Linked DNA regions of Schizosaccharomyces pombe. The gene in region 1 interacts genetically with each later gene. Each region holds a gene or a part of one and is shown in the gene's direction. Other genes may lie near its edges.

What was found.
Region 2: mutations in uri1 (region 1) and luc7 together harm fitness more than expected from each alone (negative genetic interaction), as found in Schizosaccharomyces pombe (one large-scale study listed by BioGRID).
Region 3: mutations in uri1 (region 1) and pfd1 together harm fitness more than expected from each alone (negative genetic interaction), as found in Schizosaccharomyces pombe (one large-scale study listed by BioGRID).
Region 4: mutations in uri1 (region 1) and nup37 together harm fitness more than expected from each alone (negative genetic interaction), as found in Schizosaccharomyces pombe (one large-scale study listed by BioGRID).

What each region holds. Positions count from the first base shown.
Region 1 is NC_003421.2:324,331-330,103, reverse strand, and holds uri1 (prefoldin-like protein), read left to right. Parts: upstream 1-3,009; coding exon 3,010-3,157; intron 3,158-3,231; coding exon 3,232-5,183; 3' UTR 5,184-5,236; downstream 5,237-5,773. Other genes in the region: tfx1 (translin family protein), read left to right, coding at 1-355; DNA-binding transcription factor, CBF1/Su(H)/LAG-1 family Cbf11, read right to left, coding at 643-2,402, 2,481-2,562; dar2 (aspartate--tRNA (Asp) ligase), read right to left, coding at 5,237-5,773.
Region 2 is NC_003421.2:889,954-895,097, forward strand, and holds luc7 (U1 snRNP-associated protein Luc7), read left to right. Parts: upstream 1-2,558; 5' UTR 2,559-2,766; coding exon 2,767-3,561; 3' UTR 3,562-3,883; downstream 3,884-5,144. Other genes in the region: ubiquitin hydrolase Ubp1, read right to left, coding at 1-1,713, 1,939-2,258; RSC complex subunit Sfh1, read left to right, coding at 4,218-5,144. UniProt on the Schizosaccharomyces pombe protein: Component of the U1 snRNP particle, which recognizes and binds the 5'-splice site of pre-mRNA. Together with other non-snRNP factors, U1 snRNP forms the spliceosomal commitment complex, that targets pre-mRNA to the splicing pathway.
Region 3 is NC_003423.3:1,754,739-1,759,940, reverse strand, and holds pfd1 (prefoldin subunit 1), read left to right. Parts: upstream 1-2,682; 5' UTR 2,683-2,844; coding exon 2,845-2,853; exon of another isoform or gene 2,854-2,950; coding exon 2,951-3,117; exon of another isoform or gene 3,118-3,268; coding exon 3,269-3,431; 3' UTR 3,432-3,675; intron 3,676-3,718; exon of another isoform or gene 3,719-3,819; intron 3,820-3,898; 3' UTR 3,899-4,040; downstream 4,041-5,202. Other genes in the region: actin cortical patch component End3, read left to right, coding at 81-983; protein Fis1, read right to left, coding at 1,539-1,639, 1,753-2,134; DNA-binding transcription repressor, glucose sensing, Scr1, read right to left, coding at 4,655-5,202.
Region 4 is NC_003424.3:4,867,684-4,873,121, forward strand, and holds nup37 (nucleoporin), read left to right. Parts: upstream 1-2,660; 5' UTR 2,661-2,816; coding exon 2,817-2,842; exon of another isoform or gene 2,843-2,893; coding exon 2,894-2,970; exon of another isoform or gene 2,971-3,043; intron 3,044-3,139; coding exon 3,140-4,212; 3' UTR 4,213-4,343; downstream 4,344-5,438. Other genes in the region: SPOM_SPAC4F10.16C (P-type ATPase), read right to left, coding at 1-427; SPOM_SPAC4F10.17 (uncharacterized protein), read left to right, coding at 905-1,276; hit1 (HIT zinc finger domain-containing protein), read right to left, coding at 4,493-4,889, 5,003-5,070.

The sequences.
Region 1 (5,773 bases):
AGATAGTAGCTTTAGAATTTCTATTAATTTCATCGACTATGTACTCGGTGTTTGTGACATGACTGGTGAAATAATGAGATTCCTTGTAACCAACGGCTCTAAGTTCTCTGTCCAACAACTCACTCAGCAAGTTAAATTTCTTCGTGGACTACACAAAAACTGCTCAGAAATTGAACACTTACCATCTAAGGTCAAGTCAGAATTACAGCAGAAATTATCAGTAATGGAGAACAGCATTTCAAAAGTTGAAGGAATTTGCTATAGTAAAATTTTAAGAGAAGCAGATAAAAGATATTTAAATTTGGAAGTGGATACAGCAACTCCTCCCGAGGAGAAACGATTACGGTCCACATAATATATGATCGACAGCTCTCGACAGACACCTTACTAGTTTATTAAAAGTTTTTCTGTTTTGCAGCTTTTGAAAATCATAATTATTAAGTACATATTTTCGACGATTCAATTATCTTATCAAAAGCTTCCGCTGCTTTCTATATGTTAGAGTTTCCATAAGCTAGGATGTTTGTACAATATAAAGTTCATTTAATAAGAGAGATTTCAACCTAATTCCATCATTTTGAAAACAAATTGTATTTCAATATTTCGCCATATGAAACCACACGTAAAATTAATCATGATGCATCAGTTTCCAAAAGCACTTGACGTTAGCAAAATCTCGCATTTTCCAATAATGACAATCCCACCTGGAATCACGAACAACAAAGGATACTTTTGTTCTGCACAAGAAGGATCATATGAAATTTGCGACAGACCTAGAGTGACCGTACCCATTGTACTCGTATCAGCAGCTGCGGTAAAACTATACGACAATGGTCCATGAACACCTAGCCAAATTTGTAATCCGACCGAATAGCCTCCAATTTTAAATTGTAATGAGCGCGAGCTCTCCAAATATTCGGGTGGCTCTTCAATATATGGATAATCAGTAACCGTTGGTACAGGATTTTGATTGAATGGTAACATCATCGTACAGTCAAAATGTGATATGCCCACTATAGTCCAGCATACAGAATCTCCAACTCGAGTCATTTCATTTGAACTCAAGTTTCCAACAGCTTCCCATTCTATGGGCAATATAGCCTCACTAGATGCATTTCTGTTTTGTGCCGACGTGGCCCCAAGAAACCAACGGACTGAAATATTATTGGAATATGCCAGTGAACTATGCTCAGCGATCTTAAGATGCCGTACGTTTGATATGGGATATGCGCTTTCTAATACAATTCTATGCATTTGATTAACGTAACCGTCCTCCTCAGCAATGTGGTCTTTTTCTACTCGTCGAATAATTAAAGGGTCACTCGTCGTTCCTGTTGCTTCATCGACCAATTCAACGATGGAGCCATATTTAATGGGTTCTGGGTTATCGACATCGTCGCATACCTTCAGTTTACCATTTTCATCTGGTAATAGCAGGTTAATACGCAATGGCACCCATCTATCACCGCGAAGACAAAACTGACCAGCCTCAATCGATGTATACTTTGTACGTACAGTTTGTGAATTAATCCGGTTATAAAGGCTGACGACTGAACCGGATCGCAACGTAATATTACTAATTTTTAGTTTGCTTCCTTTTTTCGAAGGTTTGGAGACAATACTAATAGAAGAAGTAACCAAATGAGATAACAATTGGTTATTTACATTCGAGAACATGTCCAGAGAAAGCCGTAAGTTTTTAGATTTCGCAGCGACCAAACTCGATATATGCAGTGACCGAAAAATCATACATCCTTGGCCAGTGTATTCTTCGCTGATGGGTTGCGAACATTGCCCAAAATCATTCATTATTGATATCTCAGTGCGAAAAGACTGATTGAATATAGAAGAGTAATTCCCATTAATATAAACCATAGGGGGTGGACATAGGTAACGTTTCTCTGACCCATAAGACTTTTGTATGACAGAGGAATGTCGACACGAAACTGTTACCAGCTGACTAGGTTTCCCTGAACGTGTAAGTGAAATTTTGTGCACACTGTCCTCATTCAAATTAGCAATGCCAATACAACAATTGTTCAGTAAATCCAAATGATCTGATATGGCTCTTCGGATCATCTCTACAGAACTGTCTTCATCAAAGGTTTTTCTTTTTCTATTAAACCCAGGAGGAGAAGGAGCAGGAATTATGTTTTGGGCCAGCTCGTCCAACGAATTAGACGCCTTTGCTACAGCAGGAAAAATTGACTGTTCATCCTTAACTACAGAAGGGAATTCCTCTGATTTTTCCAAAGTAGCCAAAGCTGAGTTTACAGCACTGAAGAGAGACAAAACCTGCATGGAAACACTTCCAGGACTCCCGCTTCCAACTCTTTCAGAATTTTCATTCCTTCCTCCAGCTCCATCCTCCTGATTATGCAAACCATTATTTATGTTGTCCACTAGAAAAATCCGTTAGCTATTTTACGCTTGGGATGTTCAGAATGATTTATAACTCAACCATCATTGCTAGCGCTTACAGTTCAACTGATTTAAATTTAAGGAGCCAGAAGTATTACTCCCAGAGATATTTGCAAAATCCCAGGCAAAATAGTCCCCCATTAATGTTCAAATTATGTTTTATACTTGCTTAAACTGTTGGACCTATAGGATTAAGACATGCATTTGCTTTTACTTAAATTATTTTCAGTGAGAAAATATTAAAATTTAAAGTAAGGGACCAAATTACTAGATGCTTAGGACATTTGCAGTATGGCGCTTTCTACGTACATTAGGGTCAGGTCGGTGGCTTCCTACTCAGTTTGAGCCATTTCCATTAACATCGATTTTTCGATATTATATTAGTTACCCTGTTATTTAAATACTAAAAGTATTTAAAATTTATTAGAATTACTTATTATCTCGTTTTTAAAGTGAATATTAGCTTGCCCGAATAAGCTGTATATGCCTTTTTCCGGAATAACCACGAAACGATCGTTGGCGTGAGATTATTTTGAATTAGAAATTCTTCAATAACTCTATTTAAGATCCTTTAAAACAACTTATCGAATGAACGACGAAAGACTAGTAGCCATCAATTTTGAACAGCAAATCTTCTCTAAGATTAGCGAAATTTCTGAATCAGTCGGTAGGGCGATCCGTTACTGTAAGGAAGATGGAAAAGTTGAAGGATGTGAAACAGCATCCCATGTGGATTGTACGTTACTTTTTCTTATAAATTGAGTGATAATGTTTGCTTCATCAAACGACTAATTGCTAATGAAAATCCAGTCTTAAATCATATTCATTTACTTTTGGGAAATTACAATAATGACTTAGCATCTTCAATTGAAAAGAAGAAATCCGAGTTGATAGTAAGAAACTCAGAAGGGTTACCTGTTATGGATATTCATGAAGAAGTTGATAAAGATGGAAATATTATAAGTGCTTCTGTTGCTCCACAAAGAATTTCATCTGTAATAGATTATGCGGATGTCTTTCGATCCCTTCCTGGTTTCAAAAATATTGAAAATGGGGGGAACCGTGATACATCTTCGAGAATTGAAGAGCTATCTGAAGAAGAAATTAACGATTCTACGAAAAATATTAACTACAAAGCTCCAGAAATGGGCTCATTACCTTCTAATACTGAATTTACTTCAACTCCAACACTTGGTGTCTCAGAATTTCCCAGCAAACATGGTGATCATTCAGACAGTAAAACATATGAGAGTCCTATTAGTAATAGTCAGGCTGCTTCATTGAGTGATTCAGATATGGTTCAACAAATTAAAAATGGTAGCAAGACTTCTTTGTTTAAAAAGGGTTTTCTTTTCAAAAAAAATAATGCAATGCAAAACAGAACTACTTCAAATATAAAGTCAAACGCTTCTGCTATTGAAAAAAATAAAGAAACGATATTGAATGCTCTCAATAACTCTACTTTAAATGAAAATGGACATCAAGATACCCAAAATGAAGTTTTACGAGACATTGTGTTAGAGCATCCGACAGCGAAGGCCCAAGATACTGGGGAATCTAATAAAGATAATAACACTAGCACGTCTAAACATAAAAAACGACCTAAGCGTCTTTCAAAATTTAAACAAGCTAAGCTAGAAACAAAAAAATCTGGCAACAAAGATCATGCTACATCTAGTGAAAAGCTTTCACTAGGAAATGAATCTATTCATTCTATAAACGAAACTAGAAGTAGTAGTATAGAAGAACCAGATAATGCCGACAATAAAATTGTCGAAGAAGAACCGATGTTACTACCAGTTCCGACGACTGCGCAAGGACAAAATGTTTTGGAAGCAGTACAATACGACGGTTTAGACTCTTTAGAAGATATGGAGGCTCTCATTCAGGAAATGGAGGAGGAAGGCGAATTAGATGATAATTCTGAGTCTGAGGAAGATGAACATGGTATGACGATAGGATTTTCCAAGGAACTGAAAGCTCCACCGGATCCTCAATATTTTACAGAAAAGACTGGTGCTACAACTTATGTCAATGGTAATGACGAGAGCCTAAATGTCAGTGACTTTCCACAAATCGTTGAACAAGAAGAGCTTTCGTCAAAAAATCCTCGAAAGGTACATTTTTCAGACACGCTGGAAATTAAACACGTCAGTCGGAGTGGAAAGGCGAATATTGAAGTTATACCTGCTCCAACTGAAGAATACGATAATCTTTTTGGACCAGACGATTTTCAGAGTCGTATTTCAGCGTTTCGTAAAGCAAGGAGCAAATTGCGCGCAAAGGAAAACGAAGAGGGCAACCATTCTAATGCCACATGTACAATCAAGAACGATGATTTGAGTAACACATTAAATAATCGGGCTGCGAATACAAAGTTAAATCCAAAAGAAGAAGACAAATCTACTGTAGAATCCGAGCTTAAAGCACCGCCTAAAGAAAAAAGCTCGGAAACTTCCAAGGAATATTTAAATGAACCATCTGTAGTAAAAGATTTTGTAGTTGAACGAACTCCATCTGACAAAATTAGCGAGTCTAAAGAAGCATTCGATGCGAAAGTCGAGGAAATTAGTGATCAACGAGCTATATCACAACGTTACTACGAACTGAGAAAAAAAATGATAGATAATACAGGTGAATATATTAAGGATGAAGAAGAACAGGCAGTTATACCTTTGGATGAGAATGGAAATGAAAAACCTAAAATGAGCCGATTTATGACCGCGAGGTTGCGTGGTCGTGTTCCCATTTATGAGCATTAGATTAAAATTTTGTATAAAAAAAATTAAATGATTAATGTTTTTGCTTAAGTTATCTAATTACGGTTTTGAGTTTGTCGCGTAATAGCAACGTTGTAGTCTTTCAACATCTCTTCTGGAATAGCAGACGGGCTGCCAATTAAAAGATCAGCACCCGAAGAGGTTTTCGGAAAAGCAATGACCTCGCGAATTCCTGGAGCATTCGTCAACAGCGCAGCCAGCCTGTCAAAACCCAATGCAATTCCACCATGCGGTGGACAGCCACTAGACAATACGCGTATTAAATGCTCAAATGTAGCATACCTATTCTCTGGTAATTTAAGCACGTCTTTAAGCACAAATCTTTGAATATCTGGATTGTGTATGCGAATACTGCCACCCCCTAATTCAATACCATTCACGACTATATCATAATGAAGTCCACGAACAGAAAGAGGCTTTTTTTCCAGTAAATGTACATCATCCCAATGAGGAGCAGTAAATGGGTGATGTGTAGATGTAATAGATTGATTTTTCTCTTCGGTTGGTGAGAAAAGAGGAAAATCCACGACCCAAACGAATTTTAATAAATCCTTGTCCAGCTCTGGTAAAGC
Region 2 (5,144 bases), 570 kb from region 1:
CATTCGCAGTTATAAAATAACTTTTCATATTGTTGATCGTTCCATAGACACATAATTACAGTTTTGTCGTCAATAACGATTTCCTCTTCCTCCACTATTTCAAACCTTTTAACCTCAATTTCCTTTATGCATTCCCATTTCCCGGCCTTACTTTCCATCCGCTTCAGTCCAAGCTGAAGAGTTCCGATTGCTACGTCTATGCCTGCATAAACTCGATACAGTTCGACAATCTCTTTCACTAAATCATTTGTGAGTACATTTCGAGAACGGACGTTGAGTTGTAAAGGAAATCCAAACACATCGTTAGACTGGTATGATCCGGGCATTGCCGGTCGTTTACATCCATGGACGATAGGTATTGTTAATCCGTTTGCAGTACTTCCATAAAGTACAACATGATCCCATTTATGAATTTTTTTAGATATTTTGTCTTTATTTTTCAATACCTTGTACACCTTTCCCCGATAAATGTCACAAGCAGTAAGTTCCCCGCATTCGAGTCCCATCTTTTGAAGCTTTTCCGTAGCTTGAAACTTCATTTGGATTACCGTACTTTCCATGAGAAGCTCCAAATACAATTCCACAGGACTCTGTGTGCCAAATGGCGGGACGTACACTACCTTGTGTCGCCATTTTGCACTAGTAGGAAGTGGAAGAGTAAGATACATGAACGGATCAAACGCAGTTGATTTTTGATAGCATATGGAGCACTCTAAGGTGCTTTTATACATTCCTTGAAACAACTGAACAATTATGGAATCATTTCGTTTTGTATGAATATCCCAACATTGATTTGCAACTCTCTGAACATGTAATGGGTGTTCGTCAAATAAATCTGGCCTTTCAAAGTATGGTTTTATCTGAATTCGATTCAAATCTTCGTGTAACCCGTCTAAGAAAAAGGCGATGAATTCCTGAGAATCTTGCTGACGATATCCAGAAAAATAGGTATTAAACTCGCCAATTATAAATTTGAAAGAACTAGGTGACACCGAGTGCATATCAGCAGTATGATGGATCATCTTCAGTAGACTAGCATAAGACAAGGCAACTTTCCCCATCATTCCCAACGGATTGTTGTAATTAATATCCTTTTCATAAGAATCACTAAGAAAATATTTTGTAAGTTCGTGTGTATGTATCATACATTGAAGGGCAGAATTCATATAGCATGAATTACCCAAATTGTAAAGACCGCAGAGTCCGATTTCTTTATTTATTGTTAAATTTTGCTCTTTGGTTATAGAGTCAGATAACCACTCTCCGTTAGGATGTTGAAACTCGAGCAATAAGCTTCCATCGGCAATATCTATTTCGAAAATAGTCATGCAAACAGCATACTCGGAAAGCAAAGCAATCGCAGGTTGATCATTGAACTCCGACAAACTTACAAACCTAGAAGATAGATTACTTTTGTTTAGATACCATAAACGGAAAGAAGTACCATCAGATATTTGGAAAGCTTCCATCACTTGTTTGTACAAAGACCGAAGGGTATCACTTCGGGAAAAGCTAAACGCATAGGGTTCATCACTATGATATGGTTCATCAATTTGGTATAATGGTGAATAGCTCGTGTTTTCACCGTTTATTGGGTCGAATAAAACGTGCAAAGTAAAGTTTATAGGATAGATATCTACGAATGGCTTTTGCTCAGCAGCCAATCCTACCAAAAGAACTTTTCGCTCTATAGCTAGACCTTCTAATCCAAACCTATATTTGAGTTAGCTAATAACATAATGGGAATTGAAAAGAGGCCTCAAAATCCAAGGGAACCTATATATTTAGGCACCGTGGGAAGTAATGCAAACTACATAAATTAATGAAATATTCAAAACTAAGACACAATGCTTTCAAAACATATATGAATATGAGTTTTGAATTTAATTAATAATGCCTTTTACAAGTACTGTAGAGACCTTTAAAGAAAATTCATACCACTCAACAAGCATATGCCATAGCGAAGCAGAGACAATGCTATAATCAATAGATTCCTCCAAAGAATGTTTAAGCTCGTTTTTTTCATCCAGCAGCCTCCATTGAGTTATAGGACCAGGGTTGTCGCCTTCTCCATATATAAAGTCAACGTATCCTTCGAACCAGTCATAGTCAATTAAAAAGGCAGTTTTTTCTTTTTTCCATTTTTCTTTATCCTCTTTAATTAAATTTATCGAATCTTGGAACGGCAATGAAGCAGGTTGGTCGATCCAAATTTGGGAATATCGAGTGCTTGCGTTTTGAGTAGCAGTTGATGCCATTCTCAAAACATGGTCATTTATTCGTTATATTTTTGTTTCTTCAAGTTCCACTCTTATAAATTGCAAAAAATTGGGGGAATGGAGTTGTTGGTTTAAGTAAACTTGTTGTACCAAATGGTGAAAAAGGATTTATACAGGTGACGCATATTGCTGCCCTCTGTCAAGTTTGAGTTTTCAACAACAATTTGTAAAAGTTGATCTAATCGAAAGAATAAAGTATCAATATATTGCCTCGTCTATATTTAACGATTTAGAAATAGCAACTTTTGAACTTTTCCGGGAAATTTTTTTTTGAATTTTAACCCAACAAGCTACTCAAATTACATCTCAATCAAATTTGAGCGATTGTAAACTTTAATTTTGATTTAATTGTGAATAAAGGAAAAAATTCTTTATACTACTTGTAAAACCTAGTGAAATTTTCTATTCATTTTACAGCGTTTGTCGAAAACCCACAAATAGGACATCAGCAGAGATAAAATTACATTTTGCCGAAAATACACTTATTATGGCCGCTGAACAGAGGAAAATCATAGAACAGTTGATGGGCAGTAATTTGAGTAACTTTACCTCTCGAGGCCTAGTACATTTCACTGATCGCAAAGTTTGCAGAAGCTTTTTATGTGGTATTTGTCCTCATGATATATTTACAAATACTAAAATGGATTTGGGGCCTTGTCCAAAGATCCACAGTGACAAGTTGAAGTCGGATTATGAACGGGCTAGTTATTCACATGACTATGGCTACGAGTGGGATTATCTGGAAGACCTAGAAAGACATGTTGATGACTGTAATAAGCGTATTGATATTGCTGAAGCTCGTAGAGAAAAAACAAAAGAGGAGGAAGAACGGATAGATGAGCTAATGCGAGATATAATACATACCGACCATTCAATTGAAGTTATTATTACAGAAATGGAGGCGCTTGCAAAAAGAAAATTAGTGAATGATGCAGTTAAACATTTTATTGAGCTTAATAGGTTGAAGACATACAGGAAAGAATTATATGATGAAGTGATTTCCATGAATGAAATTCCCAGTCAGGCTAGCACAACGCATCAAAAGCTACAAGTATGTGATATTTGTAGCGCTTATCTTTCAAGATTAGACAACGATCGTCGTTTAGCTGATCACTTCTCAGGAAAAATGCATCTTGGATATGCCATGCTGCGAAATATTGCTAGGGATCTTCGAGCTCAATTAGAGGACCGTGAAAAATCCCGTGATAAAAAGGACGGAGAGAAACAAAGAGATAATTTAGCTTCTTTTGAAGATAAAATCTCAACTTCCTTTGTTGCATAACCTACATTTCGTAATGAAAAAGTGGAGGATCTCAACTAACCGCCTTTATTCGCTTAGTGATGCCTTTTACGCAGACCTATATAGAATCTTATTATTATGTTTACCTTTTTACGTTTATGGTTGTTTCCTTACTTGCTTTTTTACAATATTCTTCATGTCATGCACAAAATAAGTGTACCTCTTATATTTTATATTCGTTTATTTCTAATCTCACAAGGTATATTGATATATGTATTTCAATTTGAATAACAGCTATAAGTATATCCTTAAAATAAAGCAGGAATAAACTCTTTGCCTTAATATTGTCGTACTAACCCAACCATCCTTACTTGTCCTTCAGCAACTGTTTGTTTTGGAGAATCTGAAATCGAAAGGAGTCAAACTATTTTACTAAATTAACTTTTTATTTTATTTTGTATAGATATCCTTGAAAATTCTGTGATTCGAAAGTCCAGTGGCAATGTAGAAGTATTAAACGTTTATCAACGGTTCTACCAAATCAGGGCCGATAAAAGAACTCTCGATTATAATTTACGTTTAATACAATCATATAGAATAAATAAAAACATAACATAGTACTTCCAACTGTAAATTGACTTGCGGCTTACATAGTGTTTTTTGGCATACTTGTGCAAACTACCGACTTCACAATTTACATGGCTCAAGCTTGTAAAACCACATACTCATCTCGTTTGAAAACGGGAAATACATGCTTAATCCAAAAAAATGTTGCAGTATCGACTAGGTCGCATTCTTCGTATACAGGCAGAAATTCGTTGAGAAATGTTCCAGCGGTTAATTACGCCGCATTCGAACAAGGTGAGGATTTTGAAACGCCAGTAGAAACTCCAGAAAAAGAAGAGGAAAAGTTCGAAACGGATGATCGGGGGCTGGCAGTTGGCAGACCAACCGGAAACAACATCTATCCAAGATTCGCGACTAAAACAAGACATATTTACGTTACAGACGAACAGCTTAAATGCGCTGCAGAAGAACGAGATGTATACATACCAATACGGCTGGATATTGAACTGCCCAACAATTATCGACTCAAGGACACGTTTTTATGGAACATGAACGAGCAAGTAATGACACCGGATGTGTTTGCTCAAATCTTGTGTGCCGATTTAGATTTATCTACGAATGTATATGGAACGCAAATTAGTTCCAGTATTCGTGCACAAATCGAAGAGTATGCACCGGTGGCTGAGGTGCCTATGCCAAAGGGGCAGGAAATGCTCGTTGTATTCAATATCCAAGTTCAACTTGCTCAGTTAAGCTACAATGATCAGGTGGAATGGAATTTAACGAGTCCTCTTACACCTGAGGAATTTAGTGTATTAACCTGCAACGATTTGGGGCTTTCTGGGGAATCTCGACCAGAAATTGCCTATGCAATCCATGAATGTCTTTTAAAGTTGAAAAAGAATGCATGTGAGGGTGATTTGCCAGATTACGACAGTGATGCAGTTCCTGGAACGAAGGCTGGACCTCGTCAGGACATGGATACTTTGGGTGCATTATGGCAACCAGTGCTGGAAACAGTTTCCCTTGAAGATGCCAAAAAGAATGAGAACAATCGA
Region 3 (5,202 bases), on another chromosome or scaffold:
TGATTGTTTTTATTGTGAAAGGCTACCTTTGGTTTTTAGGGTTTCTTTTTTTGTCTATTTTCATCATTTCTAACCATTAGGTTTACAAAACCGTTCCAGATAGAGTACCCGAGGCGTTGGTGTCTACTTCCAAAAAGCATTTAGTAGCAGCTCGAGATGCTCTTCGTGGAAATGATGATATTGCTCTCTTACACAAAGTACCTTCGCTTGATACCGACCCGGAAGATGCCGTTTTAAAAGATGGATTTGATTGGTACATTTCTCCATCCGATAAAATTCGATATTCCGATATTTACTCCCTACATTGCAATAAACACGGAGAAGTATCTTTTAATGGCCTGGCACCTGTATTTACTCCTTTTGGGGTTCCCAACTCTCAAATTCAGAAGGCTTGGAAACTTGTCAATCCTCAGGGTACTGAAACCATACAGAAAGATCAGTGTTTAGTATTTTTGCACATCCTTACTCAGAGATCCAACGGATTCCGTATTCCTAATGATGTCCCGTACAGTTTAAAGGCTAGTTTTAAGAGAGGAAATATCGATTATAATTTAGATTCCTACAACTCTACTAATAACTATTACTCTTCACCTACAATGGCTCCATCTACGGGTGGTGCGAAGCCGAAGAGTGATCTTGATGCCCCGAGGGATGTGAGAGACTCTGACTGGGAGCTGATTTCATTAAGAAATGAGCTGTCCAAATTGGACGAAAAGATTCTTTCCCTTCAACGTGAAACTGACGATGTTAACATTGCACAAAATAAGTCAAAGCTTATTCAACGTGATTTACAGAAAGTACTTGACTATAAGTTGGGTATCCTTCAATCTCTAAAAAATGATGGACCAAATGGCCCCAGCGCTTCCGCCATTGATAATGACTTAAAAATGCTGGAACAACAACTTAATGTTTTGGGACGTCACTTGGAAGGTCGGAAGTCTCAAGTGGCTAAGCTAGAGGAAAGGCTTCGTAGTCTGTCTTAACAAAATCTCGTTTATAAAGCTCATCATCTCAAATACTTGAGTCTTTGGATGTTTTCTTGGAAAATCGACGAAGGTACACTCTTTCTTTCTTTCTTTATTGGGCTTAATAAACTGTTCAAACAGGAAGAGGGAATTGGATTGTAAAATCATTCATTAATGTCCATCATTATATTTTTTGGTTTAATCGATACAAAACTTTTGAATTAGTATAAAAGGAGGAACTTATTCAGCTTTTATAATAAATACTCACTCTCTTTTTATAACAATCTAAAACCTCCTTGAGGTAAATTTATTACCCTGCTGTTAAGAAGAAACACAAGCGAATTCAGAACTATCAACTGGGTAAGAAGAAAAGATAATATAATAAAAACAACAAGCTTCGATTTATAATCTTCTTTTTCTAAAAAAAGTGCACACTATAATGTCTCCCAAAGCCTTCGTAACTCATACGCGTTTCATGAAAAGGATACATCCACAATCCTATTGTTCGTAAGGAGAAAAAATTGAAGAATTTATGCAAAAGAAAGCTCCCTTGTGATTAATATCGTTTACGGTTTAAGGACGACGCTTTGAAAACAACCGTTTTGATGCCCAACCTACAAGAGCTGCAACTGACACCACTGCACCAGCTACCACAACCATTCCAATGTATCCTTCTAAAAACGGGTTAGTAATGATTCTTTTCATTATTTATAACGCATCTTTCTAACATAAACACAACATTCATGCATATGTGATACCTCATTAAGTTTTATTAAAATAAACATACCTTTTGTAACAGCATCGTAAAGACGGTTTTTTAGCTTTAAAGCCTCTGGGCTATTTGGATCTTTGGATAACAACATATTGAGATAACGACGGGATTCTTCATACTGCTTCAATTTGTAATGGGACAAAGCAATGTAGTAGAGGCATTCCAAACGCCTTTCCGGTGAATCTTTGTAAATGCTGCAGAACAAAGATAATCCCTGTTGTACATGCTGTGTAGAATCTGAGCGTACCAATGCCCAAGCAAGGTTAAATTTGGTTTGTAAAGTAATCAGAGGTTGTTCTGCATCGTATTGTTCCTTGATTTGTAGAAACTCATCAACAGAAATAATTGAATCAATAGCAGAAGGATCAGCGAGGCGAAGGGTGTGTTTTTCAGTCATGATGTCGTTATTGCTTCCTATATTGGTCTTTGAATGTGCCTTAATTATTTTAAAGGCGGATTAATATAAATAAACGGAAAATGTTGAAAAAACTACAGTCACTTGAAAAAAAATTCAACAACTCAAATATAAAAGAAGAAAAAAAGGGTTGAGTATGATGCAAAAATGCTAAATTATCAATGTAAACAGCCAATTCCAATTATAAAGGATTTGAGGCGCAAATGAGTGAACTACAAGGATAATGGATTTCCAAAGCAATAGAAAAGTCCAGAAATCCGATTTAGTAAGAATATGGATATGCTTTTTCCACAAAAATTTGAAACAGAGAAGGAATGAAATGAAGATTCGTTTGTGAACGCCATCGCCAACAATTTATGTAAGGAAGAACTTAAGGATATGGCAAAACATTTCACAAAATATTTATTACAAATTGTGGCGTATTATGTAATTCACATTTGCGAAACGTACCGATAATAAAAGCAGTGTAAAGTAGCTTGTAACATGCCAGCTTTGTACTTAAGGCCTAACCAACATTTTGCCTAAGACTTGATATACTTGTAAAGGTGGTATATTCAAATATATTGAAAAAGTTCTTGATTTGTCTATAAAAAAAGTATTAAAAGGACTATTCTTTGTACCATAATTTTGGAAAGAGCAATTCAATCCAAAAAAAATAAGTTCTTGAGATATACCCAAGTTTCCTTTAAATAATGCAAAATGTACGTATTTCATCATTGAGAAGAGAATTATTTTGTTAGGAATTTCCCTCTTTTTAACTGTGTTACATGGTAAACTAATGAGCTTTGGGCATATTAGTTAGCTAGTCAAATACAAGAGAAAGCGGTTGATTCACAGCAACAACTGAGGACCATAATGGTACAGATTGCTGCCAAGGAACGGGCACTAAAAATAAGTGAATTAGCCAAAAAAGAGTTAGAGGATGTTGGAGAAGATAAGGCCGTATATACTTCTCTTGGAAAGATGTAAGTGTCATAAAATGAAACATGTATTTTTATTTTCTTTTCTATAAAAATAGGGAAAGAATACGGAATTAGCAAAAACAGCACTTTTGGAATGGAATTGACCGTACTGTCAATCTATATGTAAAGTCATTTACTAACTGTTTATTTACAGGTTTATGAAATCCGATTTGGCTTCCGTACGTACACATTTGGACGCAGAAATGGCAAGTTTAAGAGAAGATATTGAAGCACTACAAAAGAAACAAACATATCACGAAACAACGGCCTCAAATGCTGAGCAGCATTTACAAAAGATAAAAGAGTCGATTTCTTAAAACATCAATTATAATCATCTCATTGGTAAATTGGATTATGGGATTGGAAAGTTTATGACTTTCTTTTTTATCTTTAAAACTGTAGAATTAAAGTAAATTTGTTCCATTAATCTTCTTGCATTTCTAACAAATACTGGGGCATTTGTGAGCCGAAATTTTGATCACTGTGACTGCGCTTTTGTGTATGGATACTTAAATTTCAAGCTTGAAGACTTGTGAATTTAGTATATGTTATACTTTTAAGGTAAGTTTTCTACTGTTAGAATTGACGTTTGGAAAAGTAAATGGAGAAAGGATTTCTTTGATGATTCCAAAAAAGCATAGTTCAACTGAGCATCGTATGCTGAAACTTTTTCCATCTGATTTGCACGTCAGTCTGAGATTTCTCGTTCCCTTTTGTTTCTTTCTTTTTCAACGTCTGTTTGTCTGACTTTTGTGTTGGCTGTTTTACTGACCCATACTTTAAGGTGTTCTATATTTTTTCAAGGATATCATTAACTGTGTGGAAGCTGTTTTGTTCTCCATTAACTTCTGATTTCTTTTTGAGAGATGCACAAGGAATAGTTTATAGCTTACTTATAGTTTATGAATAAAATTATCCGAAACGAACTGTCACTAATCATTGTTTAACAAAGTATGTAGTAATGTATTAATATTAACTATGGCGACAATATTAGGACTTGAAGGTCTCTCATATCAGATGTTTGTTTCTGAATTAAAATAATAATTCTATATACGAATTGTGAAGTTGCCGTTAAATTATGATGGTAATTTGCTGTAGTTCTAGTTAAAGTCATTAATGTAGATCCTGCAGTTCAACTTTTTGATAAGATCTGCAGACAACTTTATATACAATAAATTTAGCTAAATAAAAGCAAAAAGGATTAAACACCATCGGTAAAAAAAAATAACTTTATTAGTTTATGGTCTATTGTACCCATACACTGATCAAGAAGTAATTTAAACATATAACATAAATTTTCACCTATGAAAGCAGTCTAATAAACACAAAATAACATTACTAATTATATGCCAAGAAGTTTAAAAAAAATTTAAAACAAAAAAAAAAAGAAAAACTGAACAATGGAACCTCAAATGTCGAGACTCATGATACTAATAAAAAATTTAATACTTAATTTATAAAATAGCATAACACACAACCAAGGTGTTTAGATGGTTTAAAGGAAGCAAAGGTAACTAGCGTTCACAGCGCAAATATTGGGTTAGGGCTTGGTCATAGGAGTTAACGGCCCTATTGAAAATGCCGGTGTGGTGGTGGAATAGGAAGACGACGCCGACTTTGTGGATGAAGAAGGAGATGGCGGTGATCCGGCCAAAAGGTTGCTGACACTCACACGCGAAGAAGAGGAGAACTTGCGTGATCGTCGATTCGATGATATACGGACTGGACCAACATTCGACTGGGATGCAGGTTTGTGAGGCATGCTGCTATTAACGTTGGAGAGCGAGCTCAGAGAGACGGACGATGGAGTACGAGAGACAGCACCAGAGGCTGGTGTAGACGCGGAAAAGGCGTTAGGATCACACTTCAAAGGAGGAATTAACGGAACTTGAGAAGGTCGTAGAGAAAGCGAGCGGATAGAAGGTAATTGAACGCAAGATGGATCATCCATGGGTCTCAAACGAGGAGAATGTGCCGGTGTAACGAGAGGTGTGACGTCTGGGGTGGGACTAAAGCTCCTAGTGGAAAAGGTAGGACTACTCGGTGCAGTGCTGCAGGGGGAAACCGGGCGAGAGCGACGCTGGTATC
Region 4 (5,438 bases), on another chromosome or scaffold:
ACGAAACTGGAGTATACTTGGTTGTGCGAATTTTATTACTAGGAAACCATTGCGATGGTAAATGCCTGTGTTCTTCTGGAATGCTAGTTACGTAAATTCTGCGAACAGAAGCATCTCCACTTTCGGTCCCAGCTTCATTCTTCTTTGATGTAACACGGCTAGTCCATGACTGATCTGAGTTGTTACACGAACCTTCAAAAGAGTTAGCTTCCTCATCATCCCTCGAACGTTGTTCCGCATGTGCTTCTTGTGAAAACTGGCTTTCGTGATGACGAGAAGAATAATCAGTTTGGTTTGTAGGTCCCTCATGAGCTAATGAGCCATTGTGCTGAGGTACATGGTGTAGATGATTAAAAGCACATATGGATAAGCCATGCAAAGAGGATTTCAATGAACTAATAGCATCAAAATTGATTAGGCTAGGCATCAAAGGGATCTACAATTCCTCAAATTCTTCCCAATCAGTTGCAGAATTACGAACGACTGCAACGTTCGACGATACCAATGACACAACTGGGAAATAAACAGAATTGATATCGCTTACGTACAGAATTAGTTCAATTAAGCTCAAAATTCGGCGTAGAGAAAGTCCTTTGAGGAGGCAAAATGGGTATGGCAAGATGATGTGTATTGATGTAATCCTTAAGTGCTGGGGTGTACTATATATACAGTGCAAAGGGTATGGGTAAAGTAAATAAACGATTTCTCAATAACAACAAATAAAGCATATTTATTGTTGTTTAATTTTTTTCGTCTTGAAAAAGAAAACAGAATTGGAAAATTGCTAAGGCACCATAAACAGATAAAGTATAACGTTTTAGTTCATACCCACTAGCGTTGGTAACTAAAACTTACACAAATTTTATATTTTTTGCTTTATTTTTTTTATCTTCATATTGTTAACATGGCGTTTCGTGCTGCAAGAATTGCTTTCGCTTGGAAGGCAACCAATCCTGCTAATACAACAATTCGTCAATATATAAAAGAAACACTGGAAGAAGCACCTGAGAAAATCAGTCAAACTGTCAAAAAAGCAACTGGTAAGGCTTCGAAAAAGATAGATGAAAACAAAGATAAGTCACCACAGGAAATGGCTGAGAATGCAAAGCAATCGGTAAAGCAAACTGCCAAGGATGCAAAAGATACCGACTATCAGCAAAAGGCGAAAGATGCTGGTAAGAAAATAAAAGAGGAATTTAGCCAACGGTCGGAAAACGTACTCGAAGAAACTCGTCGTGAGGGGATGAATCGTGATGGTGGTGTTAAAAAGGAATAAAGAGGATTCCTTGTAAATGAATCGAGTTAATGTATTGAGTGGAAGCTTGTATACAAGCTCCTTGATGCTCTTTATGATTTTAAAGATGCTTCACGTTTGAAAACATCGCTTTCTTTTTGGATTTATATGAACGAACAATGCATGATTTACAAAACGAAGCTAGAAGATTGTTAATAAACTAAAAATCATAGTTCAACGGTTCCTGGCTTTTATTTACAAAATAAATTCAATTTTTGATGATAGCAAAAAAAAAAAATTTCATGATTTAAATAAGAATGAGATTATCGCGAGATGTGTTAATTATATTCCGGTTGTATAGTCTGGTATTCGTGGCAGTGATACTGCATATTTTGCATTGCCGATGCTAGCCTTAGTATGGACTTGACTGTATGTAAAAACTTTATGGCCCACATGCTGTCAACAGCTACTATGGTCAAATTTAAATTTTGTTATTCTATAGGCCGGATAGTTGTATAAAGGCATTGTAATGGATAATGGTAATAATACTCATTTTGGTCAAACACATTCATGCCATTCTACTCCAGTAAATTCAATGCCGCTCGTTGTAAGCATAGCGATAAATCCCAAAGGCTGTTCAAAGCAATAATTTCAAATTTGTATTGCAACTTGCCAACATTTTTAAAGTAAATAAATTCCGTTATTGTACAGTGACATTCTCATGTTATATACGCTCTACAGTCAATAACATAATATCATTCACCAACATGATAGTACTCGATTGTATTATATTTTACTAGTCTTGAAGCAAGAATAGCCATAGCCCTTGGGTTTTTGAAGTTGCCAAGATTTCGGCTCAGAATGAAATGCCCAAGCTAAGATTTCCGAAGGTTTTTTCAAATTTTCAATATTTACTGCATTTACTCCCTCCACAAAATCTGGTTTATACGAGAAGATGTGACTGCTAAAATGATCATTATGCTATAAAAAACCCCATTTGTCGTTTACAATGCTTTACATTCGTTTTTATCCACACTATTCACAAGCCTGTGTCACGGTTTATGTAATTGGCTTGGGGAACGTGTTGGAAAGAATAAAACCGCTGTATACTTCATACGGAACGCAATTATTACTTTTCGTTCTGCAATAAATCAGTGGAATATCGTGTTGGTTTTTTTACATATAGTTTTATTTTGATGTATTTAGTAAACACTCTATTTGTTAATTGAATATAAGTTAAATTATTAAAAGATATTTAGTATAAGTACAAATTTTAGTAATTGCATTAAAATGGTTATATTTATCGTGTTTCATTATCTAAACTGCTTTGTATAGGTTTTCGTTTGATTTTTTGTAAATTAATGGTGGTAGTTTTGGCTCCGTAAGGTAGAACGTTTTCTTCAGCTTCATCCAATTCACGTAACCCACTAGTTACCTGCAACACCATATCACTAGAAAACGTGGCCGAAACTTCTCTTTTTCCATTTGTATATATAAATGCATTTTTAATTTCTTTATCTTTTTATTGTCTGCACAATAAAGCGTTCATTCTTTCCGTTTTTTTTGAAAACTATTTTTCGTCATGACTCTTTCCTCTAACCAGTATCAGTACGTTCAGCGTTATTTCGTTTATGTCTCTTTCTAACTTCTGTTTATTAGATTGCCTCTTAATGTCCGCCCGTATACAACGACTTGGTGTTCCCAGTCTCCTTCCTGTTCAAATCTTCTTGCCATAGGTATGTAAGATATCTGAATGTTACGACGAATGGTAATTTACGTATTACTCATTTCTTCTTTTCTGTTTTCCTAAGTTACAATATTTGAGAAAACCTCAGTGCTAATGAAACAATTATCTTCAAATAGCATTCCTCTAAACGTTTTAAACTAATGATTAACCTTATACAGGCCATGATACGGGTATCACTATTTATTGTGCTTCAGAAGAACAGACGCCCGGATCTACAGGTTTGACATTACAAGAGTTGTTCACTATTCAAACTGGGTTACCCACTTTGCATCTTTCTTTTTCATCTAGCTGTAGTTATTCTGAGAATTTGCATGATGGCGATGGAAATGTGAATTCCTCACCTGTGTATTCTTTGTTTCTTGCATGTGTGTGTCAGGATAATACAGTTCGTCTAATAATTACAAAGAATGAAACCATTATTACTCAACATGTGTTGGGCGGAAAATCTGGGCATCATAATTTTGTGAATGATATCGATATTGCAGACGTCTATTCCGCTGATAATCGTCTCGCTGAGCAGGTGATAGCATCTGTGGGCGACGATTGTACGTTGATTATATGGAGACTGACTGATGAAGGGCCTATTTTAGCTGGATACCCATTGTCTTCCCCTGGTATTAGTGTCCAATTTCGCCCATCTAATCCTAATCAATTGATTGTTGGAGAAAGGAATGGTAATATTAGGATTTTTGACTGGACTTTGAATTTATCAGCTGAAGAAAATTCTCAAACCGAGTTGGTTAAAAATCCATGGCTTTTGACTTTGAATACCCTGCCACTCGTTAACACCTGTCATAGTAGCGGCATTGCTTCCTCTTTAGCTAACGTTCGATGGATCGGAAGTGATGGAAGCGGTATACTTGCAATGTGTAAAAGTGGGGCTTGGCTTCGTTGGAATCTTTTTGCTAATAACGATTACAATGAAATCTCGGATTCCACTATGAAATTGGGACCCAAAAATCTACTGCCCAACGTGCAAGGCATTTCATTGTTCCCATCCTTGCTTGGTGCTTGCCCACATCCCCGTTACATGGATTACTTTGCTACGGCACATTCTCAGCACGGCTTAATACAGCTCATTAATACATATGAAAAGGACTCGAATTCAATTCCTATTCAATTAGGTATGCCCATCGTTGACTTTTGCTGGCACCAAGATGGATCACATCTTGCTATAGCTACGGAAGGATCTGTTTTGCTTACCAGATTGATGGGGTTTACGAGATTATGAGGGTATAGAACAATATACTTAACATCGAACTAAAATAAACGGGTTCAGGAGAGGAAATTGTATTGAATAAATATTAATGTTCATAGTTAAACCAAAAAGTAGTATTTGCTATGTATTAACATCGTGTAAACGCTGTTACTTTTAAAAATTTTAAATGGATGTGTTGCTTTCGTAAACAATTCGCCTTGGTTCAAATATCGCCTTTGATATTTCAACTTCCAATAACCGATATGCGATTTGAATTGAATCTTCTAAATGTTCGTTACAATGATAAAACCCATTATTTTTGAGCATAATATTTTTCCAGAATCATGGATGCCAGTTTTTCGAAAGATGGATTGTGTAGCCGCTGTTGCTGAATAGCATCTAAGGTTTTCAGAGGAACAGAACCCTCTTCCTCACGGTCAAGGTTCACTAATTCTTTCATTATATGTAAAAGCTCGGCATTACTTTCAATTAAATTTTTTATGCTAGGATCTTCGACAATAGATTCCAAAAGACTTTCACTTGGCAATGCCTCTTCTGCTAAACTTGGGATTCTTCCATTAACGTAGATAACATTAGGAGAAGGTTCTGGGGGGTTTAAAGGTTCTTTAACTCCTTTGAATGTTGTTGTGTTATTGTCATTTACAGTCTCACATTGACTTTGGTGGATTTTCCAGCAAGGTAATGAACAACTATTAATTCTATATTAGTATTTTTAGGAAACAGAAAAAAAGAATAAAGCATTGGTTCATGGGTTAATGTGTATTGAAACAAAATGCATTGTTCTGAGCTTACAAGCACATACTAAGGAAATGAACACTTCGGGCATTTATATTTTATTTCTGATTCGTTGCATATTGAACAAGTTGTCATGATAGCGTTTAAATTTTTCTAATGTATTAGAGGAGAAACCTTTTTTTTTAGACAAGCTCAAACAAAATAAGATTAAAGGGAGAAGAGCAATAGAGTAACGTCAAACCTTGCTAGTTCAAAATACAGTTAACACTGAATAAAAAGGCTCTGGTTTTTCCCTCTTTTGTGATATGTTCGAAAGCTATGGTAAACAGTAAAATAATATTTTTTTGAATATTCTCAATATAAACTATCTCTGCATCTCTAGCGAGTACATTTTTTTAGATTAGCATGGTGGATTTACTTATCGTTACCCCTCACTATATAAAGCTTTTTAATGATTTTCTGGTTACGAATTTTAGTGACTTAGTCGTAAATAGTTTAAGCTT